7 linked regions of the Neurospora crassa OR74A genome follow. The protein of the gene in region 2 purifies or fractionates together with the protein of the main gene of each other region. This does not show direct contact. Links are inferred from orthologs where the notes say so. Each region holds a gene or a part of one and is shown on either strand. Other genes may lie near its edges. The genes, in order: pph-3, NCU02810, NCU08952, NCU07831, NCU02414, NCU04344 and NCU00040.

What was found.
Region 1: the proteins of NCU02810 (region 2) and pph-3 purify together in Saccharomyces cerevisiae (affinity purification with mass spectrometry; 3 studies listed by BioGRID, with this or other methods). This does not show direct contact. The link is inferred for Neurospora crassa OR74A from reciprocal best matches to the Saccharomyces cerevisiae genes GCD11 and GLC7.
Region 3: the proteins of NCU02810 (region 2) and NCU08952 purify together in Saccharomyces cerevisiae (affinity purification with mass spectrometry; 8 studies listed by BioGRID, with this or other methods). This does not show direct contact. The link is inferred for Neurospora crassa OR74A from reciprocal best matches to the Saccharomyces cerevisiae genes GCD11 and GCD7.
Region 4: the proteins of NCU02810 (region 2) and NCU07831 purify together in Saccharomyces cerevisiae (affinity purification with mass spectrometry; 4 studies listed by BioGRID). This does not show direct contact. The link is inferred for Neurospora crassa OR74A from reciprocal best matches to the Saccharomyces cerevisiae genes GCD11 and NIP1.
Region 5: the proteins of NCU02810 (region 2) and NCU02414 purify together in Saccharomyces cerevisiae (affinity purification with mass spectrometry; 8 studies listed by BioGRID, with this or other methods). This does not show direct contact. The link is inferred for Neurospora crassa OR74A from reciprocal best matches to the Saccharomyces cerevisiae genes GCD11 and GCD6.
Region 6: the proteins of NCU02810 (region 2) and NCU04344 purify together in Saccharomyces cerevisiae (affinity purification with mass spectrometry; 4 studies listed by BioGRID). This does not show direct contact. The link is inferred for Neurospora crassa OR74A from reciprocal best matches to the Saccharomyces cerevisiae genes GCD11 and GCN3.
Region 7: the proteins of NCU02810 (region 2) and NCU00040 purify together in Saccharomyces cerevisiae (affinity purification with mass spectrometry; 6 studies listed by BioGRID, with this or other methods). This does not show direct contact. The link is inferred for Neurospora crassa OR74A from reciprocal best matches to the Saccharomyces cerevisiae genes GCD11 and RPG1.

What each region holds. Positions count from the first base shown.
Region 1 is NC_026503.1:2,384,687-2,388,662, reverse strand, and holds the start of pph-3 (serine/threonine-protein phosphatase PP1), read left to right. Parts: upstream 1-1,176; 5' UTR 1,177-2,139; intron 2,140-2,287; 5' UTR 2,288-2,445; coding exon 2,446-2,625; intron 2,626-2,728; coding exon 2,729-3,130; intron 3,131-3,210; coding exon 3,211-3,510; intron 3,511-3,572; coding exon 3,573-3,601; intron 3,602-3,690; coding exon 3,691-3,706; 3' UTR 3,707-3,976.
Region 2 is NC_026501.1:9,046,539-9,050,464, forward strand, and holds NCU02810 (eukaryotic translation initiation factor 2 gamma subunit), read left to right. Parts: upstream 1-1,126; 5' UTR 1,127-1,540; coding exon 1,541-2,058; intron 2,059-2,123; coding exon 2,124-3,110; intron 3,111-3,183; coding exon 3,184-3,214; 3' UTR 3,215-3,674; downstream 3,675-3,926. UniProt on the Saccharomyces cerevisiae protein: As a subunit of eukaryotic initiation factor 2 eIF2, involved in the early steps of protein synthesis.
Region 3 is NC_026505.1:5,799,596-5,803,774, forward strand, and holds NCU08952 (translation regulator GCD7), read left to right. Parts: upstream 1-1,379; 5' UTR 1,380-1,714; coding exon 1,715-1,812; intron 1,813-1,869; coding exon 1,870-2,922; intron 2,923-2,981; coding exon 2,982-3,069; 3' UTR 3,070-3,729; downstream 3,730-4,179. Other genes in the region: NCU08951 (ribosome biogenesis protein Nhp2), read right to left, coding at 11-453, 561-846; NCU08953 (hypothetical protein), read left to right, coding at 4,161-4,179. UniProt on the Saccharomyces cerevisiae protein: Acts as a component of the translation initiation factor 2B (eIF2B) complex, which catalyzes the exchange of GDP for GTP on the eukaryotic initiation factor 2 (eIF2) complex gamma subunit.
Region 4 is NC_026503.1:1,003,716-1,007,776, reverse strand, and holds the start of NCU07831 (eukaryotic translation initiation factor 3), read left to right. Parts: upstream 1-1,261; 5' UTR 1,262-1,568; coding exon 1,569-1,941; intron 1,942-2,015; coding exon 2,016-2,998; intron 2,999-3,056; coding exon 3,057-4,061. Other genes in the region: NCU07832 (pre-mRNA processing splicing factor 8), read right to left, coding at 1-209. UniProt on the Saccharomyces cerevisiae protein: Component of the eukaryotic translation initiation factor 3 (eIF-3) complex, which is involved in protein synthesis of a specialized repertoire of mRNAs and, together with other initiation factors, stimulates binding of mRNA and methionyl-tRNAi to the 40S ribosome.
Region 5 is NC_026507.1:2,573,194-2,577,165, reverse strand, and holds the start of NCU02414 (translation initiation factor eif-2b epsilon subunit), read left to right. Parts: upstream 1-1,172; 5' UTR 1,173-1,394; coding exon 1,395-1,553; intron 1,554-1,637; coding exon 1,638-3,719; 3' UTR 3,720-3,972. UniProt on the Saccharomyces cerevisiae protein: Acts as a catalytic component of the translation initiation factor 2B (eIF2B) complex, which catalyzes the exchange of GDP for GTP on eukaryotic initiation factor 2 (eIF2) and is regulated by phosphorylated eIF2.
Region 6 is NC_026504.1:3,704,339-3,707,853, reverse strand, and holds NCU04344 (translation initiation factor eIF-2B alpha subunit), read right to left. Parts: upstream 2,331-3,515; 5' UTR 2,013-2,330; coding exon 1,933-2,012; intron 1,836-1,932; coding exon 881-1,835; 3' UTR 501-880; downstream 1-500. Other genes in the region: egt-1 (DUF323 domain-containing protein), read left to right, coding at 1-414; NCU04345 (adaptin ear-binding coat-associated protein 2), read left to right, coding at 3,088-3,515. UniProt on the Saccharomyces cerevisiae protein: Acts as a component of the translation initiation factor 2B (eIF2B) complex, which catalyzes the exchange of GDP for GTP on the eukaryotic initiation factor 2 (eIF2) complex gamma subunit.
Region 7 is NC_026503.1:2,375,198-2,379,398, reverse strand, and holds the start of NCU00040 (eukaryotic translation initiation factor 3 110 kDa subunit), read left to right. Parts: upstream 1-1,401; 5' UTR 1,402-1,877; coding exon 1,878-1,880; intron 1,881-2,112; coding exon 2,113-4,201.

The sequences.
Region 1 (3,976 bases), on a different chromosome or scaffold from region 2:
TGCGCATTTGCTGTCGAGCTCCCAGTCTCACTGATCTTGCGGATACACGTCGGCGGCTGAGTCGCTCGAATATTTTGCTCGTTGTTGACTGGATATCCGTTGCCTGTCGACCTGTCTTTATACTCCTTCGCTTCGAGCTGTTGTAATCATGCATACCGGGTGCTTGTGCCTGATCTAGGTGTAGGCCATGTAGCCAGGCTGCCCTGCCTATCATTGCGTTTGCGGAACCTGATGCTGATGGTGGGGGGAAACGAGCAAAGAGGACAAAGCCGGAATACCAATGCAAAGTAACAACAAGGCGACCAAGAAGGCATTCCCGTCTTTGCTATTGCCGTGTACATACCAGGTAAGGTGTCACACTCACAGTCCACTATCTCTACACAGGGAGGGGGAAGTTGGAGGGTTGGGAGAGATGGAAGTTCCAGGCGACACCCACCAACGGGATCGCAAGCGGCTTTTAGGCGAGCCAATCCCAGGCCTAGACCTGCCAAGGAGGGTCCGGTGTTCGGGACTCTTGCTAACAGAAGTGCTCGCAGTTGCGGGGGAAGGCAGCGCAGCTCCTACCCAGTCGCGTTAGTGAGCAACATGGACCGACCTATCATCATACCTGCTTCCCCAGAGGCGAGTGCATGCAATTTTTCTCGAGCCAAGTTGGAAGGGCCGCTTCACTGCAACTGGAAAGGGCACAAGGGCTCGGCCAGGATCTGACGGAGATTCAGAGCGGGCGCGAAACCTAGGTAGGTACCTACCTACCTGGCTGGCAACCTAGGTACCAACTACCTAACCTAGCTCACCCAATCTGAGCCTGTCCTTGTTTGGGTTATTTCAGCCGTAGGTAGGTATGTTTGAGTTTAAGTTGAGGGTTGTTCTGGCCTGCCATCGCGTCGGATGTTTCGAGTTTTTTTCGTTCCATGTCACTGAGTGCTGTCCTGTTCATTCCATCGATGTGGATGAGAGCCCAGTCGGCGGAAAAGATCACAACTGCACCGAAACCCGACCCGACCGGACGCCTGTTGTGGTTGTTGTAACGATAACCTGACTGGCAGGCACCGAGGTGACCTGACCTGGGCTTGAAAGAACGCGGACCTGGACCTGGACCTGCCTGCCTACCTCTACCTACTGCTCTCCACTGCTAGTAGGTAGTCTGGAAGCCCTGTGCGTTTCATTAGCTGCGTTGCGTGCGTGTAAATCTTGCTGCTCCATCGGCCCAGTAGCCCAATCCCTTCTCTGCGTCCCCGTCCAGTCCAGTCGCCAGTCTTCTCTACCTACCTACCTCTACCTAGCCCATCGCCCGGCCGGACCCCCCCCCCCCAGCAGCGGGCAGCCCAAGTGGAAGCGTCTGCGCTTGTCCGTCTCCTCCCAAAAGTCTCTAAGCAACCACCACCGACGTTGATTTTTTTCTCCCGACGCTTTCTATCCCAACCAAAACAGGGCGACGTCTTTAACCACAAAGAACGCGCATTTTCAACCCCACCCTGGCGATAGAAGTCCTATTATCATAGGCATCATCTCGCGGTATCTCGTCTTCTGGCCTCCGTCGCTCAATTAGACGCAGCTTTTTCCAGCGACCCTCCGACCGGCCCAGCGCTCTGTACTGCACCTCGCTGCAGCACTTTGCACTCTCCCGGGCAGTCCATCGACCAGTTTTTCCCGACCGTGGTTTTGGCAGTGGCAGTGACAGCCTCTCCCGCAGTCTCAGGACTACTTGAACTCCCCTTCTACACCCGACCTTTTCGAACCCAGATTTTCGACGACGACACGGCGTTTTGCCCCAGCCCCGTCCGCGCGACAAAAAAAAAAAAACACGTTACCTCACAAAGGACGATCAGAGACTTCTGGAGCCGTCTCCTTTTTCCATCATTGCTAACCCTCTTGTCGCCGCGTACTACCGGACCGATTTCTTCGCAATTCCGACGAGATTTGCTTGCGCTTGCTCTAGACCGTTCGCACCTCCGCCAAACCCAGTGACGATTTACTAAAACCAAAGCACAACATTCGGTATCCGAAAGAATACCTATTTCCAGAAAAAAAAAACACCAAAAAAATCACCGCTTGCTGTATTCCCAAGGAGAACGCGTTCGCCTCTCCAAAAAAAAAAAAACCCCCAACAATCGCTTCTTGCTGGGATCGCTTCTGAGCGTAAGTTGATCAACTGCCGTTACATTGCGGCTTCCCAGTCTCTGCCCAGCCGTCGCTCCTCCTTCATTTTCCCGCCATCGCGATCGCGTGCGGCAAACCCCAATCAGAATCTGCGTCGTCATTGGCAATGTCTAACGTCTTGAATTAGTCGTTTAGCTTTGCAGAAGTGCATCTACCCCAGTTTCCTACTCCTTACGCGTGCCGCTCTTTTAGACCCGTCCCATCCGACTAGCTGGGGTTTGTCGGTCGTTACCGTGACTTCGAAAACCTGTGCGCGGTATCTCTCCGGTTGGTGAGGATTTTGCAATGGCGGACCATACCGAAGTCGACCTCGACTCTATAATCGACCGCCTCTTGGAGGTGCGGGGCAGCCGGCCTGGTAAGCAGGTGCAGCTGCTGGAAGCCGAGATTCGCTATCTCTGCACCAAGGCCCGTGAAATCTTCATTTCCCAGCCCATCCTGCTTGAGCTCGAGGCTCCTATCAAGGTAAGCATTGTGTTCTTTCTATTATCCCTTTACATAGCCTCGGCATGCGCCATACTGCCCCTTCGGCAGTGTTCATAGCTGACGTCGTGCCCCACCTCCCTAGATTTGCGGCGATATCCACGGTCAATACTATGATCTCCTCCGCCTCTTCGAGTACGGTGGCTTCCCTCCTGAGGCCAACTACCTCTTCCTAGGTGACTACGTCGATCGTGGCAAGCAGTCCCTGGAGACCATCTGCCTGCTCCTCGCCTACAAGATCAAGTACCCCGAGAACTTCTTCATCCTTCGTGGCAACCACGAGTGCGCGTCCATCAACCGTATCTATGGTTTCTACGACGAGTGCAAGCGGAGGTACAACATCAAGCTTTGGAAGACCTTCACCGACTGCTTCAACTGCCTACCGATCGCTGCCATTATCGACGAGAAGATTTTCACTATGCACGGTGGTTTGAGCCCGGATCTGAACTCAATGGAGCAGATCCGCCGAGTCATGCGACCAACTGACGTACGTTACACCATTCATGCCCGGGCTTTCCGTTTGCTCAGGCTAGTTGCCGTAACATGAGACACTAACAATAGCGCCAGATTCCTGACTGCGGTCTTCTTTGCGATCTCCTGTGGTCGGATCCCGATAAGGACATTACTGGTTGGAGCGAAAACGATCGTGGTGTTTCCTTCACATTCGGCCCGGATGTCGTTTCTCGCTTCCTCCAAAAACACGACATGGATTTGATCTGCCGTGCTCACCAGGTTGTTGAGGACGGATATGAGTTCTTCTCGAAGCGCCAGCTCGTTACTTTGTTTAGTGCCCCCAACTACTGCGGCGAGTTCGACAACGCTGGTGCTATGATGAGCGTCGACGAAAGTTTGCTCTGCTCTTTCCAGGTATGTTTTTCTGACTTTGGCAAGCTCCGAGACCCTTGCACTCTTGCTAACCCCCTTTGCAGATTCTCAAGCCCGCAGAGAAGAAACAGAAGTACGTTCCCAGTCTCAGATGAAGCAATTCAAGACCCCCAAGAAGCACAAGTAAAGAATTTTCTTACGAACACACCCGTTTTCCTTTAGGTTCGGCCGCCGATAAACGTCTGATACTTTCGCCCGCCCGCAACGAACATGAGTATCTTACCGTCAGCTTGTCTACCGCCGCCATGTTTCCTGATCGCCAGGGCTCCCAGCCATCATCCCGTCTGCCGTCTGTTCCGACCACTTCTTTTGGGGAGGTCCTCGCCCCTCCTGCCGTGCCAACGAAACGAAAGCCACGTCTGCCCGTCCTGTCTCTCCATCCGTCCGGTCTCCACACAACTCGAGAGGGTAGGAAGGAAAGGGAATCTTTTTATATCTCGGGGGATGA
Region 2 (3,926 bases):
GCTTGAATCCTACTAGACTGCTTCTCGAACCATCAGAGACGGTTGTACGCGCTGTTGAACAGGTCTTGGCCCCGGAATCTTCCCGATTCCGATCCAACAAGCATCTGGGTTGGATGTGAAACAAGGGCTTGGGCGTGTTTTGGGGGCCGGGAGAGAAGCGTGTTGGTGGCCGATGTAGTTTTGATGTATATCGAGCATATTCCCAGCAAAATACACTCAAAACATAACATGATCCTGTAACGCTTGCACAGCTGTTGCAGTTACTCCCTGCCTCAGTCCAAGATCACGGAGGACAACATTCGGGCCACTTGGCTCAACTCTTCACAGCGCTATTATCCCGAGACTGAGCCCTAGTTGAACCCTTATTATCCCAAGAGCGATGAGCCTCACCTTTCGTGAAGATATCGAATAACTTGACGGGAAAGGGTCGAATCCAGGAGAAGACACCTCGTGTCCTACCTTTTCGCTCCACAGTCAGGCATTGGCAGCAGGTACGACTTTGATGACGCCCTTAACCAAGCTTCATAGAGTTGAGACTGTGGCCATGACCAGCATCGTGGGTGCTCCTCAGAGTTGACGACGACAAGCAGACTCGGCGTTGTTGATGATGGATCAGCTTATCGACCCGGAAACGTTTGTATGTACGTCGAAGGATGCCGGTGTCAATGGGAGAGGCCGTTGCAGAGTAACGATTGTTCTCAAAGAAAGAAACCGGATTCAACTCGCCGATCGATACAATGTACCCGTTCTCAACGTTCAGTTGATATAATTCTCAGCGTTGAGTTACCGTGTACGCTGTGAGTAAGTTTCTGCCGACACAGACGGGACAGAGGGTTGGATAAAAGTGTAGATGGCGAACTCTTGATAGGAGAGAGGTTCCAAAAGTCACCTCAATGATGTTGAAGCTGAACCGTGACTGAGCTCTGGACTTTAGCACTACACTTACTTGGTCCTTATCGCGCTCTTATCGGCCCTTGTGGGGCAGGCGACGGTCGGGCTAAACCGAAAACCGTGCTTAGTGGGGCAGCGGCAAAGGCGGGAAGGGTTGGGCGCACGCAGGGCAGGTTCGCAGAGCGGAATGTGTGAGGCTCTCGCCTTGTTGGTCGCAGCTGGCAGCGGCAGCACAGGAAAATACCGACCTAGCACAAGCCAAATACAAGTCAAATATCGTCAGAGTCATCCACCAGGCAGGCAGTTTTTCTTCTCAGCCTTCCTCCAACCTTCGCTGTAACCCCACTATTTTGGCAGGTCCAGTTTTACTACCTCTACCGTCCACCAACAACGTCCGCTATCACAAATATCGCGAGTCCCGTTGCGGAGACAGTAGGACACCCACATACATACCCACACCAAGGAGCAGGGTCTAGAAAAGTACACAGCAACTACCAGGCATACACCACCCACTACACAGTACACAGCAAGAGGGGTTGCTTCACCGAAAGCGAAAAAATTACTGCCCCGCGACACATCCATCCATCGACTTGACGACCCAACCTAACTCACCTCCACACCTCACCTCCATCCACCCACATCCACAATCATGGCTACCAACGGCGACAAGTTTGGCAACGACATCGTCGAGTCCGACTCGGGCTCCGACAACGAGTCTCACGTCGACCAGCACGAGTCCGACAACGAGGTCGAGGCCAAGCCGCGCAAGTCGGCCCTCAAGAAGGCCCCCGCCCCCGTCGTCCAGAGACCTCCCCTTCCTCCCCAGACCGATCCCAAGGACCTCGACGTCAAGACCCTCAGCCCCCTCACCCCCGAGATCATTGCGCGACAGGCCACCATCAACATCGGCACCATCGGCCACGTCGCCCACGGCAAGTCGACAGTAGTAAAAGCCATCTCGGGCGTCCAGACGGTCCGTTTCAAGAACGAGCTCATCCGCAACATCACAATCAAGCTCGGTTACGCCAACGCAAAGATCTACAAGTGCGACAACCCAGCATGCCCTCGCCCGACATGCTACAGGAGTTACAAGTCCGAGAAGGAGGTTGATCCCCCTTGCGAGCGCGAGGGTTGCGAGGGCACCTACCGTCTGTTGCGCCATGTCTCGTAAGTTGTTTAACATAACATCATTTGCGCCAATGAATGACTGACCATGTGTCTCCTCCTCCCAGCTTCGTCGACTGCCCTGGTCACGATATTCTCATGAGCACTATGCTTTCAGGTGCCGCCGTCATGGACGCCGCTCTCCTCCTGATTGCCGGAAACGAATCCTGCCCTCAGCCCCAGACCTCCGAACATTTGGCCGCCATCGAGATCATGAAGCTCGACAAGATCATCATCCTCCAGAACAAGGTCGATCTCATGCGCGAGGAGGCCGCCAAGCAGCACTACGAGTCCATCCTCAAGTTCATCCGTGGTACCGTTGCCGGAAAGTCGCCCATCATCCCCATCTCGGCCCAGCTCAAGTTCAACATTGACGCCATCAACGATGCCATCGTCAACACCATCCCCGTTCCTCCCAGGGATTTCTCCATGGACCCCCAGATGATTGTCATTCGTTCCTTCGACGTCAACAAGCCCGGTGCCGAGATCGACGAGCTCAAGGGTGGTGTTGCCGGTGGTTCCATTCTCCACGGTGTCCTCAAGCTCGGCGACGAGATTGAGATCCGTCCCGGTATCGTCACCCGTGACGAGAAGGGCGACCTCAAGTGCACTCCCATCTTCAGCAGGATTGTCTCCCTCAACTCCGAGGCCAACGACCTCAAGTACGCCGTGCCCGGTGGTCTCATTGGTGTTGGTACCCGCATCGATCCTACCCTTTGCCGTGCCGATCGTCTGGTCGGTTTCGTCCTCGGTCTCAAGGGCCGCCTCCCCGAAATCTACTCCGAGATCGAAGTTAACTTCTACCTCCTCCGCCGCCTTCTCGGTGTCCGCACCGCCGACGGCAAGCAGGCCAAGGTCGACAAGCTTGCCAAGAACGAAGTCATCATGGTCAACATTGGTTCCACCTCCACCGGTGCCAAGGTCTCCGCCATTAAGAAGGATGCCGCCAAGCTCATCCTCACCTCCCCTGCCTGCACGAGCATCGGCGAGAAGGTTGCCCTTTCCAGACGTATCGAGAAGCACTGGCGTCTTATCGGTTGGGCTACCATTGCTGCGTAAGTTTTTTTCTTTTCTATTTCTTTACCCCATAACTTATCACCACTGAATAACCACTAACAAAAAAAACAGCGGTGTCACCCTCGAGCCTTCTACCTCTTAAGCGAGCGACCAGAAAATATCCAAAGTTTATACATCGCTTGATTAGGAGGAAAATTAAAAGGTTGTTAATTTTTGGTTGCTCTAATGATGAATATCCAAAAAGTCGTTGGAGGATGATCAAAGAATGGAAACTTGGGCGCGGACACGGAAGGAAACGGCGTAGCGTGGGGAAACCGGGACCTGTGTTTCTAAAAACTAGCCTTGTGAAATTTGTACATGGTCTTATTTTTATCCAACTTGGGGCCGAGGACAGTAGAAAGACTGGTCATACGATTCGTTGAAGAAGATGAGCGAGGAATGTTGTGAAAAGAGGAACTCGTGAAGAGAAGCGCATTATCGGACCATTAGGAGTTTTTGTACAAAAAGTTATGTTTGGTACCGACGTACTTTGGGTTTACCAAGTAGTGGTAGAGGTAGAGAAGATGCCATTACGTTGATTTTGTCAAGGTCCGACGTACTTGGATTGAGTTTATTAGCCAGTGGTGATGATAAGAGTAAACTTGAAAGAGTGAAGTAGAGAAGATAAATACATTGATTCCGCCATGAGTCTTCGACGTAATGACCATCTTACCATTATACTAGGCTATGGTAATGGCTCGGATAGATGGAAAGAGTCCAAGAATATACCTAACAATACTCTTCATGGGACACAGTCGAGTATGTATCCGTACGTAACTCTATTCATTTTTCTCTTTCTAGACCTGATAGTCTAT
Region 3 (4,179 bases), on a different chromosome or scaffold from region 2:
TCCCGCCAATTTAGGCAGTGCCCTTGACCTTGGCCTCGATCTGGAGCGGGTGAGTACCCTTGACCCAGGGCTCGACCTGGACGTTCCACTGTTTTTGCGCCGTCTTGACCAGCTCCTTGTAGGCCTCGAGGTACTCGGCAGGGTCGACCTTGTCGCCCTCCTCCTTGCCAGAGGACTTCTTGCCCTCGGGCTTGAGCATCACCACCGAGGTGGCGCGCTTGGTGCAGGCGGCAACGCCGAGGTCGGCGCGCGAGCGAATGTACAGGTAGGGAACGCCGTGCTCCTCGCACAGAATGGGGAAGTGCATGATCACGTCCATGGGCGAGATGTCGCCGGCGATGATGACGAGGCCGGGAGCGTCGGCGGGAGGGGAGGCGGCGGTCCGGAGGGGGCACTTCTTGATGGCCTTCTCGCACTCTTTTACGCCGCGGTGGATGGACTTGAGCTTGGCGCCTGTTTGTTTTTTTTAATCAAAAGTTAGCTTGGGTTCAGTACAAGTCGTGCGTGGGCTGCGATTGAGGAGCCTGGCAATGCAATTGGAGAGTAGTCACAAAACGTACCCTTCTTGATCAACTTGTAAATCTTCTTGTGGGTCTTGTCGTCGGCGAGGGGAAGGGCAAAGGGGACGAGGTCCTCGGCGGTCTTGACGACATCCTCAGGGTCGACGGAACCCTCCTTCTCGAGGTGAGCCTCGACGGCCTTGGCGAGCTTCTCGGTCTTCTCCTTCTTCTCCTTCTTGTCCTTCTTCTCCTTCTTGACACCGGCCTCCTCGCTCATCTTCTTCTCCTTCTTGTCCTTCTTCTCGGACTTGTCCTTCTTCTCCTTGATCTTGTCGGTGGCACCCATCTTGTCGGATTAAATGTGTGTGTGTGTTGTTGTTGGTGGTGGTGGTTGGGTGTGTGTAGATAAAGTTGGTGGTGGAGGGGGATGGGGTATCAAACAGGAATTAAAGAATGGTTATACAGACAACCACTGCAGTAAAGAGAAAAAAAAGTTACTGGGTTGGGGCGTCAAGGTATTTGGTATCGTGATGGGGCGGTTGATCGCAGAAATGGATTCTTCAACGCAGATTTTACTGGGTCCATCAAGTGACCCAGTCAATCAAAGCAGAGCGACGCGACCAAAAATTTGTAGGCCAATTGTAAAGCCGTTCCGCCCGGGGGCCGATAATGCAGGTGAGCGCCTGGAATTGGGTGCGATAAGAGGGACCAATTTTCCGATAAGCACGCGATAAGAGGAAATGTCTTAAACTTCCACCTTTTGCTTGGTGGGGCTTTCCATTCAGTACGACAGGGATTAGTAGTAGTCTTGAACTTAAACAAGGCCTGCTTCTAGCCTGCCGCAAACTGGCAAACAGCGGCAGTGCTTTGTCCTTGAAGGCCGGTTGCTTGCCTGCCCCACTAAATTTCTAGAGCTTGTGATACCTACCTCCAAGCGCATTCAGTGTGAGCCATTGACTCACCTCGACAATTCACTGGCAAAAAGTCCACAATCCCAAGCGACATTGGCCCAGTTCTGGAAGCTATTGTTGGAGAACCTTTTTGCGACCAGCAGCCTTGTCATTCCCCCCCGCCTATATCGATTTCATAGATATCCGTCCAGTACCATTCGTAAAGACCATACAGCCTCGAGCAGGGAACAGTCGCACTCTCACTTCGACATCACCTCCACAATACCTCAGTAGCACACAGAGTACTATACACAGCTCATCGCCATGGCGTCGTCGCAAATGAGCTATGCCCCCACGTTGGGCAAGCTCCTCAAGTCTCTCAACACTCAGCCCTTGGAGGCTTCTATCGAGGCTCTTATTTAGTACGCCTACGCCTGCTTCATATCTATCTTATATCAGATCCTAACATGGTTGGGCAGCCTCCTAAAACGTCGCCAAGTCAAGGGCGATGATGTCGCCAATGCCACAGCCCATATGCTGCTCCAGGTCGTCGCCAAGTCTAAGTGGCAGAACGTCGATCAGCTGCTCGCAAAGGTCTCCAACACCGGCCACAGACTTGCCCAAGCTGCTCCCACTGAGCAAGTCATCGGCAACGTTGTCCGCCGAGTAATGGGTCTTATTCGTGATGAGGCTTCCGAGGACAGAAATGCCGACGAGATGGGCGACTCAGTATCCGACCTCTCCCAGCTGCCCACAACGCCCACCATTTCCACAAGGCCAGGCCCCACGCCCCTCCGCGCCGCGACTCTCCCCATGTCCAAGTCCATGTTCAACCTTCTCTGCGTCTCAGAGACCGCACAGTCACCAGTTACCGGCGCATCTACCCCCATGTCCCAGGGCGCATCTGCCAACATGCATGCCCTACGGTCCGAAGTTATCGATGGCATCGAAGAGATTATGGACGAGATCAGCCAGGCGGACGACCAGATTGCGGGTTTCGCGGACATCCAGATTCACCCCGGCGATTACGTGCTCGCCTACCTCCCCTCCCCAACAGTCGAGAGATTCCTCCTCAAAGCCGCAGCAAAGAGGAGGTTTACCGTGTTCATCGCCAGCGCTGAGCGTCAAAAACCCGGCGAGGTGCCCCATGCTGCCCTACGGAAGAAGCTCAACGGTCTCGGGGTCAACGCCATCAGCCTGGCTAGCAACGGCTTGATGGCCTATATGCCTAGGGTGAACAAGGTCGTTATCAGCGCCAAGGCCGTATATGCGAACGGCGGTATTTCCACAGAGAGTGGGTGCAGTACTGCTGCTAGGGCAGCGCAGGAGTACTCCAAGCCCGTTATCGTTCTAAGCGGTGTTTACAAGTTCTGCCCCGTAGATCCGTCGGACGATGGGACCGAGTTCGAGCAGGGAGATTCTTCGACGTATGTCGACTATGCCGACGGTGAGGCCGTCGATGCCCTCGAGGTAGAGAACATCGTGGGCGAGTACCTGCCACCCCAATACGTCGATGTATACCTAACAAACCTGTAAGCCCTGAACCCATAATTTTGATGACTGAAGAACCCCAACACTAACAACTTTACAGTGGCCCCCAAACACGAGATCATCTTGCCACCATCATGGCCGACCATTACAAGCTCGAAGATATGGGCTTGTCTTTGCATCTGCCTTAGAAGCCGAAGAGAAAAAAATGAAGAAAATAAAAAGACGCGGTTAATAATGTATCATGCTGCCGGTCCAATGCAATACTCGTTCAAATACCTCTCGACTGTTCCTGGTTCAACCTGGCCGACCAATATGCGTTCCGAAAATACAACATCGTGCGTTGCATATATGTCAACTGAAGAGTCATATCTGTACCCATAAACTTGTTTGTTCCTTATCATCGTGCATATTTCGGTAGTCCCGATGGCGAGGTTTTGCGGATTCACCGGACTCAGTAGCTTTGGACGCTGGCAGAGGCTTCGACGGGCATGGTTAGATGGGGTGAAGGGACAAGATGTGTCGCTTTTTCTTGCTGGGCCGCCATCGAACTTAAGGATCTAGATGAGTGCAGTACAGCATCACGTAAGGATATCGTATATAAGCAGGAATCGGGGCCTCCGCTGCGGACATCGGATGCTGTTATGTCGGACTTCATCTGCGCGCCGAAATATATTTCCCTGGAAAATACATCTCCCTGCACAGGGAGTCTGACAGATACTTAAACTTGCCCATCCATTCTCTTTCCACTCGAATTAATTCCCTCTCTTTTTCTCGTCATCCGTCTACGTACTCGGTTCCTCGCTCCTTAGGTCATTTATCCACGTAAATCAATACATCAACGGCTTGTCCTTACTTCACGATCCTTCAGACACCGATACTTGTCTATCGCGTCCCTTTCTTCGAGCGGGAGTCATTCTCCGTCTTCTCCAGCTCCTTTTTCATACCATCCACGTGACTGTTTGGGGCTACATCCTCACGGTCTACGCTCGAACGGCCTACACACGTACGGTCTATATACCTACACTACACACAACCACTGTTCAAGACTCCTACAGTGCAAATCCCCACGGGTCATTACCTCCGATCATGATCCCATAGTCTATCCATCTACGACCTACATACCTACCTACGATCCGTACACCGACGGTCCAAAAACCCACGACCATCGTCCACATAGCTCAACCCGTTACCTCCTCGGGGAATCCGCTCCAACCTCAAATCATACGCTCGCTCGGCCGGATCGCGATAATCCAACCAGTCAAAGTCAACTACCACCAAAATGTCACACGCACGCTCCT
Region 4 (4,061 bases), on a different chromosome or scaffold from region 2:
CGATTTCTCTGCATGCGAAGCCATTCCTTCTTCTTCTGGGCGAACTTGGCAACATGAGGGTCGGTTGGTGGAAAGAACCCAGGCGGCGGCGGTGCTGGGAGGGCAGGAGGAGGTGGGAGAGAGGACGGAGGCGGCGGCGGCGGAGGTGCTGATGGCGGCGGAGGAGCGCCCCAGCCGGGGGGAGGAGGTGGTGGTGGCGGATAGGACATTTTTTCGATTTCTGCTTGATGAAGCTTTGTTGACGTTTATGTGGTTGTTTCGTTGTAATCGTCTTCGTCAGAAGCGTGTACCAGTCGGCGTTGGCGACGAGATGGATAGAAGGCTGGATACCGTGAAGTCGCCTGTCCGCGCGATGGCGGTTTGCAGTCCGCGTGCGTCGTTCCAAGGCCTGTCTCGCTGAGGAAGAGAAAAAAGGACTGGCAAATATTAGATTCCCATTGGTTTTAGATGGAAATGGGCGTAGGTCGACCTCGCACCAAATCGCGGCGATGGTCGATCAAGCTGAGAATGGAGAGGTGGATGTTGTATTCGTGAAAGTGTGGTTTGGTGGCGCCAGGATGCTGGCGTTGACGTTGGCAGGTTGGCCTCGTTACGAAAAACTTGAACAGCCTCGCGACAGCTGCGTGGGCGGTCGATAAAGTTCAGAGGTCAGGGCGGGCGGTCCAGGTCCTGGCGCGCAAAACGGGAAACCTGGCAGCGGGATTCTTCGCTGTGCAGGTGCTTGTTGGCAGCTGCAGCCCGGTAGCGTCCCCGCCACTCCAGTTAGTGAAAGAGGGCCTGGGGTTGGTTGCCTGCAGCGACTGGGCAGGCTGGGCTGTCACTTCTCGACTTCGTGGCGAAACGTCTCCTGTTACGTACTGTAACTTTCGATACGCAATCCCCGTTACGTGGTAGATCTGGCTTGACAAGCTCACAGCACGTCTCAGATGCATGTAACCGAGTATAGTGATACATTATCAGTTCAGGTAGCTGATACATTGAAGGTGGGGCATCAGCTGGCTGGCTGTTTGCGCCCAAGTACCCAGACGACAGGTGTTGAATCTCATAGTGAAGGCCTGACAAAGCAATGCTTGATATTGTTCCCTCGCTCCGCTCGCCAAAGTATACACAAAAACCCGTTCCTCTGACAGATCCCTCATGCGAACATCTGCAAGGTTCAGACCTTATCTTCATCTTCTAGGAATCCCGTCCTGCGATCTCCAAGCGGAAGCAGGTACATTCAGCTCATAAGTTCAGCCTCCCCCCCGCGGAGCAAGTATCCTCTCCCCCCACACCCCTTGCTCGGATTAAGTCATACCCAATCATTACAGCGCTCGAGGCCCAAACAGCTCCGCTCGATTCGCTAAGCCCCAAATCGCCCCCACCAAAACGGCCTTTCAGTGAAAATTAATTCTTTGACCCCTCTGTCCGCCTCGCCGCAGCCGGGTTTTGCTTTGCCAACCATCCGGACCATCACCACTTCCGTCCACCACTCCAAGTACCCATACCGGTAACCCGGACTTCTGCATCGCGCCCATACCCCCGGAACCCGCATATTTATTCCGAGTCTATCGAAAGAGACCGCAACCATGTCTCGTTTCTTCCGCGGCGGTGACGACAGCTCCACCGACAGCAGCTCCGAGGAGGAGGAGGTCTACACTTCGGAGGAGGAGGAGGAGAAGGTTCAGGCCGAGGACGAGTCTTCGTCTGAGGAGGAGTCTGACGAGGAGGAGAGCGACGAGGAGTCCAGCAGCGACGAGGAAGAAGGAACCAAGAAGAAGGGTGCCTCCCGTTTCTTGCAGAGCGACGACGAGTCCGAGGAGGAGGAGGAAGAGCAGAGCGACGATGAAGCCACCACCAAGGTCAAGAGCGCCAAGGACAAGCGCTTCGACGAACTCGAGTCCACCATCAGCCAGATCCAGAACGGCCAGAAGATCAACGACTGGAGTCTTATCGCCAACGGTTCGTATATCTTTCATGCATGCATACACCCTCGATATGTCCTGCACCGATACTTACTCCCCTCCCCGCTTTAGAATTCGACAAGCTCAACCGTCAGGTCGTCAAGCTCCAAGATGGCAGCAAGGCGCCCAAGTCCTACATCAAGGCCATTGCCGATCTTGAGGACTTCATGAACGAGACTCTCGCCAAGCAAAAGGTCACTCCCAAGAAGATGAACGCGACAAATGCCCGTGGTCTCAACGCCGTCAAGCAGCGCATCCGCAAGAACAATAAGGAGTACCAGACCCAGATCGATGCCTACAGGAAGGATGCGGACGCTTTCATGGAGTCGGATGATGAGGTTGCCGCGCCCAAGGTTGTTTCCAAGGTCCGGTTCGAGGCTCCCGTCGTCAGTGCTGAGCAGCAGGAAGAGGACGACAAGGGCTTCTCTACGGTCGATTCGCGCGGCAAGGTTGTTCAGTACACCCCCGAGAGCATCCTCAAGCACCTCCGCGCCATTATCGAGTCTCGCGGCAAGAAGAACACCGACCGCCTCGAGCAGATCAAGGTTATGGAGACCCTCAACAAGGTCGTCCCCATTACCCCTTACCAGAAGATCCGTGTCCTCCAGACCCTTATTTCTGCCCGCTTCGATCTTGGTGCTGGTGGCGCCGCCCAGATGCCTTTGGACCAGTGGAAGGCCGCTGAGCGTGACCTTGCCTCTCTCTTGGAGATCCTCGAGAAGGAGAAGGACCATGTTGTTGTTGAGGGCGCTGAGGAGTGGGATGATGATGACAAGCTCCCCACCATCCCCGAGGGTGAGAAGTACCTCAAGGTTCCCGGCAGCGTTGTCTCGCTCATTGAGCGTCTCGATGACGAGCTCACCCGCTCCCTCCAAGCCATCGATCCTCACACCTCTGAGTACATCGACAGGCTAACCGATGAGGGCTCTCTTTACAACACCATCTTCCGTGGTCTTCTTTACTACGAGCACCTCCGCAAGGATGCTTCCCTCGAGGTTCCCCAGGAGAGCTTGAACCGCATCATCCAGAGGCGTCTGGACCATGTTTACTACAAGGTATGTATAGAGCTAATGCTGGAATACTCAGCCGTCTTTGCTAATCATCTTCTTTCAGCCCGCCCAAGTCGTCAAGATCCTCGAGGAGAACGCGTGGAAGCAGGTTTCTGCTGAGGCCGATTCTGAAATTACCCCCCGCAGCCAATCCGGCGATGCTGGCAAGCTCATCAACATCCTTTCTAACTACCTGTTCGAGAACAGCGAGGGCATCATCCGCGCCCGTGCCATGCTTTGCCAGATCTACTTCTTGGCTCTGCACGATGAGTACTACAAGTCTCGCGACCTGATGCTCACTTCCCATCTTCAGGAGACTATCGCCAACTTCGACATCGCCACCCAGATTCTCTACAACCGCACCCTCGTTCAGGTCGGCCTTTGCGCTTTCCGCAAGGGTCTCGTCTACGACGCCCAGAACACCCTCCAGGAGATCTGCGGCAGTGGCCGTCAAAAGGAGCTTCTTGCTCAGGGCGTCATGATCCAGCGTTACAGCCAGGTCACCCCTGAGCAGGAGCGCCTCGAGAAGCAGCGCCAGCTTCCCTTCCACATGCACATCAACCTCGAGCTCCTTGAGTGCGTCTACCTTACCTGCAGCATGCTCCTCGAGATTCCTCTGCTCGCCCAAACCGGTTCTTCGCCCGATGTCAAGAAGAGGATCATCAGCAAGACCTACCGCCGTATGCTCGAGTACCATGAACGCCAGATCTTTACCGGGCCTCCGGAGAACACCAGGGATCACGTCATGCAGGCCTCCAAGGCCCTTGCTGCTGGTGAGTGGAAGAAGGCCACCGACTTCATTCACAGCATCAAGATCTGGGACTTGATGCCGAACACCGAGGGTATCAAGACCATGCTCGCCAAGCAGATCCAGGAGGAGGGTCTCCGTACCTACCTCTTCACCTATGCTCCTTTCTACGACACTCTCGCCATTGCTACCCTCAGCTCCATGTTTGAGCTCGACTCTCGCAAGGTCTCTGCTGTCGTCAGCAAGATGATCAGCCACGAGGAGCTCGCGGCTGCTCTTGACCAGGTCACCGAGACCGTCATCTTCCGCAAGGGTGTTGAG
Region 5 (3,972 bases), on a different chromosome or scaffold from region 2:
TAATGAGACGTAGGTAAATAGCGTTACTTAAAGCTGTTATTTCGTTACCCTTTTTAAGGATGAGAAGGTTAGCGACTTCGTTAAAATTAAAATTAGAGTTCGGGGATGGATATTTTAGATTTACTTTATAGGTAAAAAAAAGGGTACATTCCTCTTTTGGAATTATAAGGATTGGGGTACGATTACTAGCGATATTTACTAGAAGTATGTCTTCCCTTTTCTGCGGTAATTTTGGTAAGAGAATTCGTTTTTTGTCGTTATGTAAGACAATGCACTAGCTTATAGTTCGAAGTTAACGAAGGTATTTATAAAGGATGCTTTTGTTGGCGCTACTATTGTCGATTGGCCGCCCTACTCCCTTGATTTTAATTCTATTGAGAACGTTTGGGCCTTTATGAAGAGATGGATTGAGTGTGAATACCTAATTAGACTGATTGGGAATAGCTTTAAATTGGCTATCGAGAAGGCTTGGGAGGTTGTATTAGAGGACTACTTACTTTGCTTAGTATATTTAATGCCTAGAAGGCTTGAGGCGGTTATTAAGGCAAAAGGCGGGTATACCGACTATTGATTTGGCTGAGGTTACGGTTACAATTGTGGTATTTGAGAATCCCTGGTTTTAGTATGTGAAATTGATTGATTTACGGTAGCTTTGTTGTCCCTGTTCTTCCTGTGCGGGCCTCGTATGCGTAATTTGATTGGATTTATCCCTAGTCGCCTCCCTTGTCAAAACCCCTGTATGTACCGAGCTAACGAACTTTCCAGGGCTCAAGTGTACTATTCACACTACTTAGTACCTTCCCTTTCATACATGTTGCCGTTTTTGTGCGGCCAAGGGAGATGCTAAGCACTATCGTGTTGTAGTGTACACGACTAGGACACGAAGTACTGTTCAGTGCCGGTGCTATGATGTGCTTGATGCGGCTACTTCAGTTGTCATGATCGATATGATGGGAGCCCAAATGCGGCTAGTGATTTCCAACGCCACAATTTTCCACTGATGAAAGTTACCACCTGTAAGGCTCAGTGCAGTTGGTACGCGGTACGGTAAACTTAAGGCCCCGATGGTACGTACAAGCCACAGGTGATAGCCCTGCGCCCCACCTCCAAGCATGCAGTACCTTACGGAAAACACAATGTGAAAGTTTGGACAAATTGGGTCACTGCGTTGACTCATCATTGCAAGGTTTTGGTACCGCACGGCGGCCGAGGCAGGCGCATCATCAACCCCAGCTTTGAAGTTCAAACGCGCCGTTCTTGACATTGTGCAGCCCCACCTTTTTCCTTCTACCACAGTCTTCCCCGCGCTTCCCGATCCGCGGCCACTTACTCAACCAGGCCCTCGTCGACCCATTCCTGTAGAGTTCGAGCTGATAAATAGACTTCAGTTGGCAATGTCGGGCAAGCAAGTCAGCAAGGGCGGGGCTGCCAATAAGTCCAAAAAGCCCGCCAAGGGCGGCGCCGAGGAGAAGAGAGAAGATGCTCTCCAGGCCGTCATCCTCGCCGATTCTTTCCAAGATCGCTTTCAGCCTTTCGCGCTTGAAAAGCCCAGGGTAAATGCCTTCATGCTTCGTGCTAAATGCTTCGTGTCCCTTGTCCCTGGTGACCTCTGAGTACTGACGGCCTTCTCCTGACAGTGTCTCCTTCCGTTGGTCAACGTGCCCGTTATCGAATACACGCTCGAGTATCTAGCCTCCAACGGCGTCCAGGAGGTCTTCATCTACTGCGGCGCCCACTCCGAAGACGTCGAAACCTACATCCACGACTCTGACCGATGGAGCCCTGAAAGCAATCTCTGCCCCTTCTCTTCTGTCGACTTCATCCGCGTGTCCGACGCAAGCTCCATCGGTGACTTTTTGCGAGATCTTGACAAGCGCAGTCTTATCTCGGGTGACTTCATTCTGATTCATGGCGATGTTGTCGCAAACATCCCCCTCGATGGTATTCTGGCTAGGCACCGCGCAAGGAGAGAGGCCAACAGAGACGCCTGCATGACCATCGTCTTGCGCTCAACAGGAGACAGCCCTCACCGGACTGCAAAGGCCCGGGGCATTACTCCTGTCTTTGTTGTCGACCCCACCAACGGCCGTTGTCTGCAATATGAAGAGATGCACCCACTTCAGAAGGACAAGTATGTCAAGTTGGACGAGTCGGTATTCGAGTATGCTGAGTTCGACTTACGCACCGATCTGATCGATTGTGGCATCGATATTTGCACGCCAGATGTTTTGGCCTTGTGGTCCGAGAGCTTCGACTACGAGCTTCCCCGCAAGAACTTCCTTCACGGCGTACTGAAAGACTGGGAGCTCAACGGCAAGATCATCAGCGCCGAGATTCTTGAGGAAGGCTACGGGGCTCGCGCCAGCAACCTTCAGATGTATGATTGCATCAGCAAGGATATCCTCCACCGCTGGGCGCTACCGTATGTCCCCGATAGCAACCTTCTTCACGGACAAACTTACAAGTACAAACGGGGTCTGTGGTTAGAGGATGGCGCACACATCGCAAAAAACAGCACAGTAACCAAATCCGTACTAGGGAAGACCGCCTATGTCGACACCGGCAGCACAATCTCGAGCAGTATCATCGGAAGGAGGTGCCAGATCGGAAAGAACGTGAGGATAGAGAACAGCTATATCTGGGATGACGCGGTCATCGAAGACGGTGCTACTGTTCTGCATTCCATTGTAGCCAACGATGCAGTCATTGGTAAGCACAGCTACATTCCTCAAGGCTCTCTCATCTCCTACGGTGTGCGGATCAGCGCCGGAACACAACTCTCATCCAAACCCCTACCGAGAATATCCCTCTTTACCAGTGAAAGAGAGCCGGTCAAGACCGACATCAAACTGGTCGGAAACGATGGCAAGGGAGCCCAATATAAAGAGCCAGAAGACGACGAGGATAGTGACTCCGAGGATGAAGGCGATGCGGACCCCGCAGTTCTCCAAAGCTCTCTCATTTACTCTTTGGCTGGCCTCAACATTTCAAGCGAGTCCATCTCCACATTAGCGACCCATGACTCCGATGATGACCTCTCGGATGACGAGTACGAGCAAGGCCTCCAAGCCAAGACCAACCGGGAGCGCCTATCCTCCTTCGCGTCTGACGATTCCGCTGCCGCCGTCATGAAGCTCGACCAGTTTCATGGTGACGCTGTTCACGGACTTGTAGATGCCCTCCGTGCTGACGACAACGAGGATTTCGACTCTGCGAAGCTGGAGTTCATGGGTTTGAGACTGGCCAATAATGCTTCGGACAGCATGATGCGCAAGGCCATTGCCGTAGCCTTTGCCACTCGCGCCGCCGAGCTCATGAGTCCCGAAAACGGCGGTCTTGAGCCTACCAAGGCCGCTGGCCGGGCTCTTACGTCCAAGAAGGGTGCCGTCAAGTTCATTACAGAGGTTGGCGTCGGCGGAAACAAGGTCGATCTCCACGCTGAGTTTGCCCTCGCGTTGCAGAAAGCTTTGGCAGCCATTAAGGGGCTTGATTCTGCGCGCGCAGGAACGCTACTTGCCGCCATGCTGCAGCAGCTTTATAACTTGGACGTTCTCGAGGAGGAAGGTATTCTCGCCTGGTGGGCGGATGCCAGGGCTGCAGAGAATGATACACTCTCCAAGATCAAGGAGAGGAGTCGTGTGCTGGTCGAATGGCTGGAGAATGCAGATGAGGAGGATAGCAACGAAGACAGTGATGAAGAGGATGAGGATAGTGACTAGATGGGTTATCAATGGAAGTGCATGCTCAAGAGGGATGGATTATTTGGAAGAAGGAAGCAAGGGTGGAAGAACGAAAAGGGGGAGGTGTAGATGAACTTATACCCGCAGCACCTGCGACCTCGAGATATTGCTTGTGTTCTCTTTTTGGGAAGGGGAGAATGGATGGACGGGAAAATGAAGGAAAATTTGACATCCGCATACTCCTCGCTCTCAACACATCTTCCTTTGTATGAGCACGAATGCCTGTGATAAT
Region 6 (3,515 bases), on a different chromosome or scaffold from region 2:
CCCCCATCCTCTCCCTCTTCCGAGACCCCCGCCGAGTCTTCCTCCCCCTCCGACAGCAACACCACCCTCATCACCACCGAAGACCTCTTCTCTGACCTAGACGGTGCCAATGTCGGTTTTCACAACTGGCACCCTATGCCCATCACCTCCAAAGGCAACACCCTTGTCGGGCAAGGCGAGCTCGGCGGCGTGTGGGAATGGACTTCATCGGTCCTCCGCAAGTGGGAGGGGTTCGAGCCGATGGAGCTGTACCCCGGCTATACGGCGGATTTTTTCGATGAGAAGCACAACATTGTGCTGGGAGGGAGCTGGGCTACGCATCCGAGGATTGCGGGGAGGAAGAGCTTTGTGAATTGGTACCAGAGGAATTATCCTTATGCTTGGGTGGGGGCGAGAGTTGTTAGGGATTTGTGAGTCGTTGTGTTTGTATGTGTAATGGGTGGTGGACTATGGCTGGTTGGAAAGTGAAGACGACGTGAATAGCGCAGTCTTGGTTAGTACTCAGATGGGTATCTTTTTCTTGGTTATGAAATTTCGGTCAACTACATGTATATGAATGGGGTGGTTTCATATGTCACTCCACTCGATCAGGCATCCCTGGTTTAACTTTAGCACGTACTTTGTTTTCCTTCACAGGCCAAGCAAGTGAGAAAAGAGACTCTTTCATCAACCAAACCTCCAAAGGATATCAGGTACCTATCCCATTTCCCGTTAAAAACGCCTAATAATGCTGCAAGGATATTTACCACAGTAACCACACCGATAACTTGAAAATGATCAAGCAGTTCCATCCATCCATCCATCCATTCATAAAACCGCCCTTTTGTTACCCACGCTTTTCAACACCTTTCACCTTCAGTATCGGGCAGCAAGACCCCCCTCACTTCTCATAATCAACCAACTCCCAAATCTGACTCGGCTGCTTCACTCCCTGCTCCGTCACAATGCCATCAATCAGCTCCGGATCGGTATAATCCACCTCATCGCGATCCGCCACCCAATCCCTCGCCTCTTGGCCTACAGGGTCAACGCCCACGTTGTCAAACTTGCTGATATCCTTCTGCTTGACGCCGACCCTCAACACCTGTGGGTGCCAGAGGGGCGTCTTGCGCACAATCTTGTGACTTTCCGCAGCAACCAAGAAGCGCTTCTGCGAGCCGCCCGCGAAGCGCGTGAGCAGAGCAAGCTGCGAAGTGCCCATGCGCGAGATGATGCCGCCGTTTTGCATGACGACCTCGCTGCCGACGAGGACGATGTTGATGTCCTTTTGGTCCTTGAGGACGTAGGCCACCTTGGAGGTCGAGATGGTCTCCACCTCCAGGCCGGCGTCGCGCAGGGCCGAGACGCTGGCGTCGCAGTGCGGACTGCCGTCCATGACGTAAATGACCTTGAAGTGCGTGTTGGTCCGGGTCGTGGCGGCGTGCACCAGGATCTTGGTCACCACCCGCGAACCGCCGGCGGCCAGGACGATCTTGCGGTGCGACATGTAGCGGGAACCGATGACGGCAATGTTGTCGCGGGCGGCCTTGGCGCGGGCGGCAAAGAGCTGGCGGTTGTTGAGCAGGTGGCGCTTCGTCTCGTCGAAGGACTCGGCGGTCTGCCCTCTAAGCGACCGGAGAAGGTACTGCTCGAAGAGGTCGGCGCCGGCTAGCAGAGGGAGAGGGTTCGGGGCCGAGTCGAGGAGGAGGGCCTTTTGGGTCTTGACGACCTCGACGGTTTCCATGGCTGTTGAGGAAGGGGTGACGCGCAAGAGCTCGATGAGCGATTCGATGGCTGCTACGGGCATAGTCATGTCGGGGTCGGAGGTGAGGAGGTCGCGGTAGGTTTTGACGATGCTGTTTGTTTGTCTTGGTCAGAGGCAAGCAATGCGACGAAAGGGTTCAGCGCGGTTTGGTTATGACGCGTGTGGTAATTACGCCAAAGCAAACTCACTCGAACGAGGCGCCATCAGTGGAGGTGGACGATGTCGTCCGTACCGCGAGCGGCTTGTTGGATAGGTCGTCGGTGGCCATGTTTCTATGGGGGTTGTTGGAGAAGACGACAAAGTGTGTTGATATTGTGAAGGTGTGGGAAGTGGTTTTCGTTGCCAAAACATACAAGTCCTCCCGGGAGGAAGCACTGTTGCGGCGGTCGATCCAAGTGGGGAGGGTTCGGGGTGTTTTAGTCACTTGGGAGACTTGGAGCAGGCAGGCAGGTTTTGGCTTTGTCAAATCGTACAGGTTTATGTATTGCGACAATGATCTGGTTTGTGGTATGCAGAGTCGATAAAATGCAGCGTTTTCTGAAGAAGCGTGCGTCTGGTCTGATCTGAAAGTGTGACTCAAGATGCGTACCTACCTCTACTAGCTGTACATGTAACCTTCTTCATCCCAAATTCCCAAGTGCGGGCGGCCCTTTGAAGTATTCTGCCGCCACTCACCGTCCTCAATGCGTACCTACTACTGAGTGTACCTACTGCACGTCAACGAAGCTCTCCGGCCATTCTTTGTTTCCATTTCATGCCCGCTAGGTATGTGCCCCGCTATCGGCAGCTGCTAGTGTACACTACTACCTAGCGGGGTTGTTGCTGCCCTGGGTGATTTCCATGCCAGGTGTTGCGGCTTGTCACCGCCGCCCACCAGTCACCTCACGGACCTTTCGGGGGCTCTTTACAGGGTCGAAACACTGAGGGTCCCCCCTGGGGCTGCGTGGATCCTTTCTACTCCAGGCTGCCCCTGGCATCTGCGCTGCTACCACTGTTAGGTACTTCCTGTGGCTTCCGCCCCGCCGTCCGCTTCCATGGAACAGGGGCAGCAAGGGGAATGTGAAGCTAACTTAGGGGTTTCTACAGTAGCGGAGGACCCTTTACCGTCATTGTCTCTTTCTTCATCGGGCATTTGAAACTACCTAGGTGTATGGACCCGTTGGTTGGCGATGTTGGCTTCAGTCTCTTCTTCTTCTTCTTCTTCTTCCCCCCCTGGCTTCCTGTTGAGCGTCGACTATAAGTTGCCGACATAGGGACTAGGTACGCTAGCAAGCAAATCACAAGGACAGAAACACCATTACGACCGTGACCACCACCACCACCACCATAACACAACACACATCATGACGACCCTCATAGACCCGGCCACGCAGGCCCCCCTCCCGGCCGATGCCATCCAGCGCATCCTCCACATCACCTCCTCCTCGGTCCACATCTACCAGATCCCCCCTATGCGCTCGACCAAGGGCCACATGGCCGCCGACTGGACCGCCGACCCCAAGGCGCACATCTTCACCGGCCGCGTGCGCATCATCGAGACCTCGATCCCGCCGCAGACGCCCGAGCAGATTGGAGAGAAGGACACGGTCAAGGTCGACATTGTGCTCGAGGACCCTGCCACAAACGACCTGATCGCCGCCGCCCCCTACACCACCCAGGCCGTCGTCGAGGCCACCATCGACAGCAGCCGCTTCTTTGCCCTGCGCGTGCAGGATCCCACCACCGGCAAGAAGGCCATGCTCGGCGTCGGCTTCGAGGAGCGCAGCGAGTC
Region 7 (4,201 bases), on a different chromosome or scaffold from region 2:
GATGCCAGGAATGCTTAGGACCGACACACGATTGACGATTCCTAATAGCAAGTCTTGGGAAGAGAAGGGGCGCCCATATGGAAGTTCCTTCATTCCTTCAGTGCCACTGGCGGGCCCCGGACCGCGACGGGGGTCAGTGCGCAGCCTGTAGAACCAGTAGCAGCGCAGCAGGGAACGGTTCGGTAGGCGGGTGCAGTCCGTGCAATTCCCCAGCAGGCATGGACGCCCCAGTCTCCCCCTGCTTGGCCTGCTGCAGTGCTGCGCTTTTACCTGCACTTGCACTGCTGCAATGCTGGTCGCTTTCGGTGCTGCACTCCTCTTCTGGGCAGCCAAAGCAACCCAGGGCGACGAGGAAAAAAAGGGCCAAGTGCAAATGAGACGGACCAGGGGGTCGCTTAGCAGGGTTTGGTTAGATTAACTCGACACTAACTACGACCGTAGACGGAATGGGTGCAGACGAGTTAGTATCAAGACAAGATAGCAAGTATCACCACGAGCTCCGCATTCAGGATGAGGTGCCGGCCTCCCTATTGTCCTGCCCCATCCGTGCCATTGTGATTGACATTGTTGCAAGCTTCTGGAAGCGGGACTGGAGGTCAAGATCTAGGAAAAGAAAAGCACGATGGAGGCCGTTGAAGATGGACTGCTGCCACCGCCGCTGGATAGGCAGGGACAGGACTAGTCCGACCAACCGACGGGACCTTTTTTGGATCTGTCGGTGCTGCTGTGCATGAAAGCTGCAGCAAGAATGGCAAATGCAGGGCAGTCAGAACACGACGGGTTCCGCCCCCACTTTATCGTCCCCCCTTTGATGGTCTAGCGGAACCACCCCGGCTCAGCAGGCATCTCCGGACGGGATTGGGAATGGCGCCATTGGGTGGGTGCCCACTTGCTCCGACCGATGATGGACGCGAGCTTGAACGCTCTGGGTGGGACGACGAGGGTACAGAGGAGAGCCTCCTGTTTCTGCATGTATGTATGTATGTATGTATGTACACTACAGTAATCACAGACCGTGAAGTCCTATGCAGTTGCTGGTGTGCATTCAGCTACAGGAGAAGAGTTTGCAGCCACTCTAGCAGTTCAAGCAGCGATATCATATGCCTTTTAGGAGGATATATGTTCTTACTGGGGATTATCTTCTCAATACTCGACCGAAGTTCGCACCACGATTCTGTTCCAAGTTCCAACTAAGCCTCAAAGTGCAATTTCGTCGATGACAGCCGTGAGAAAGCTTGGCAAGACCGCCGACGGTCCGTCATCGGTCAAGGCGGGGGTCCGTGGCCCGGCAGAGAAGAACGCCCGTCGCCAGCGGGCTGGGAACTCGGGCACAAAGAAAGAACAAAAGCCGCTGTGCACACACACCATGGAGCTCCTTTCTAGTGTACACCAGACTGGACAGCACCAGACGCCAAGATGGCAGAACATCCCACTTGCCCTTTGCGACAATCCAACCTTTTTACCATTGTGCACAATAGCCTCACAGCAGATCACGGTTAAGATCAAGAAAATAATTGCATCTCAGTCAATCCCCATTGCTACAGAAGTGACCAAACATCCATTCGCACAACAACTTGCACTTCACGCCTCTGAGTTGTTGTCGCAGCGACGTGCTCGATAAGCTGCATCACGTGACTGTCCCGCATCATCCCAGCCCACAAAGTGCTCCTCAGCAAAATCGAGCCTCTAGCCTTGGCCAGGGCTTTTTTGGCTGGCAACGAACTGAACTTCTCCACGAGGCGAAAAAATCGTCCTGGACAGCGCAGCCTCAGCCAAAGTCTCCAGCATTTCTACGTGCTGCTTTGCGCGCCGCGTCCCCTATCACCACTTTATCCATATCTCCTCCAGATTAGCCAAGTGCCGAGGAGTTGCCCATCATGGTGAGTTGGGAATACAGCCATAGCCTTATGGTTATGGCTTCGAGTTCATATAATCTTCTGCCCCTCCTTTGACTGGAAAGCCAACTCCATCGTCACCTAACCTCATCACCGCCCACCCTGCCCTCCACCCCCCCCTTCAACCCTCGACCACCCCCGCTCCCCGCCTGTCCCGCTCACCACCAAGTGTCGTCGTGTGTTGTGACCCGTGGTGACCATTACTGATCATCAACAGCCTCCCCCACCTCACCAAAAGCCTGAGAATGTTCTCAAGCGCGCCCACGAGCTCATCGGGGTCAACCAGGCCCCCGCCGCCCTGACCCTGCTCCACGAGCACATCACCTCGAAGCGCTCCCGCAATGTCCCCATCGCCTCCCTGGAGCCCGTCATGCTCCTACTCGTCGAGCTCTCCGTCGAGCAGAAGAAGGGCAAGCTCGCCAAGGACGCCCTCTACCAGTACAAGAACATCGCCCAGAACACCAACGTCGCCACCATCGAGTTGGTTCTCAAGAAGTTCATCGAGCTCGCCGCCGAGAAGGTCACTGCTGCCCAGGCCAAGGCCGACGAGGTCCAGTCCAGCATCGAGGCCACCACCTCCAACATCGACGATCTCGAGGCCAGCGAGACCCCCGAGTCCATCCTGCTCGCTACCGTTTCCGGTGAGCAGTCTCGCGACCGCACCGACCGCGCTATCGTCACTCCTTGGCTGAAGTTCCTTTGGGAGGCTTACCGCACTGTTCTTGACATTCTCAGGAACAATGCCCGCCTCGAGGTTCTCTATCAGAGCACCGCTATGCAGGCTTTCGACTTCTGCCTCAAGTACACCCGCAAGACCGAGTTCCGCCGCCTCTGCGAGCTTCTCCGCAACCATGTCCAGACCGCCGCCAAGTACTCGGCCCAGATGCACGCCATCAACCTGAACGACCCCGATACTCTTCAGCGTCACCTTGAGACCCGTTTCCAGCAGCTCAACGTCGCCGTTGAGCTCGAGCTCTGGCAGGAGGCTTTCCGCAGTGTTGAGGATATCCACACCCTCCTCAGCCTCAGCAAGCGCCCCGCCAAGAACGTCATGATGGCCAACTACTACGAGAAGCTCACCCGTATCTTCCTTGTCGGCGAGAACTACCTCTTCCACGCCGCTGCTTGGGCTCGTTACTACAACCTCTTGCGCCAGTCTGCTGCTCTCATTGCTTCTGGCCACAGCAAGAAGGCTGATAACCCGGCTTGCAGCGATGCTGACCTCCAGAGGGCTGCCACCTTTGTCATTCTCTCCGCCCTCTCCATTCCCGTCATCAGCACCTCGCGCTCTCGCGGTGCCATGGTGGACTTCGATGAGGCCCGCAAGAACAAGAACTCTCGTTTGACCCACCTGCTCGGCATGGCCCAGGCTCCTACCCGTGCTGGACTCTTCCGCGATGCCCTTTCCAAGTCGCTTCTCCGCCGCGCCCAGCCCCAGATTCGCGATCTTTACAACATCCTCGAGGTCGACTTCCATCCTCTTTCCATTTGCCAGAAGATTTCCCCCATTCTCGCGGAGATTGGCGCCGATGCCGAGATGCAGAAGTACATCCTTCCTCTTCAGCAGGTCATTCTCACCCGCCTGTTCCAGCAGCTTTCGCAGGTGTATGAGACTGTCGACCTTGAGTTCGTCGAGAGCTTGGCTCAATTCCCCGAGCCTTTCCAGGTCACTCGCGGCACCATTGAGAAGTTCATTATGAACGGCAACAAGAAGGGCGATCTCGCCATCCGCATGGACCACGCCACTGGCGTTCTTAGCTTCGATGCTGATGTCTTCTCTTCCGCCAAGGCTGTCCACGCCGGTTCCTCTGCCGGCTCTGCCGAGAGCGAGACTGGCTCTGTACAGCGTCTCCAGAGCACTCCCTCCCAGATTGTGCGCTCTCAGCTCACTCGCCTCGCTGAGGCTCTTTACACCACCTGCCGCTATATCGATCCTAGCTTCAACGAGGCTCGCATCAAGGCTCGTGATGAGGCCCTTGCTCGTGCTAAGGCTGGAGCCGAGAAGGAGCACCAGGAGGTCCTTGCTCGCAAGGAGATCATCCAGACGCGCAAGGATAAGGCTTCTGAGGCTCAGGCCCAGAAGGAGAAGGAGAACGCTCGCAAGAAGCTGCTCCAGGAGCAGGCCCTCCAACAGGCTGAGGCCGCCCGTCTTGCCGAGGAACAGAAGCTCCGCGAGGCGAAGCGTCTTGCCAACGAGCGCGAGCAAATCAAGAGGAAGGAAGTTGAAGCCCTCCTCAAGGATATGAAGCTTGAGGAACTTCAGGGTGAGGACATCGAGACCCTTGACAGCAACAAGATCCGCATGA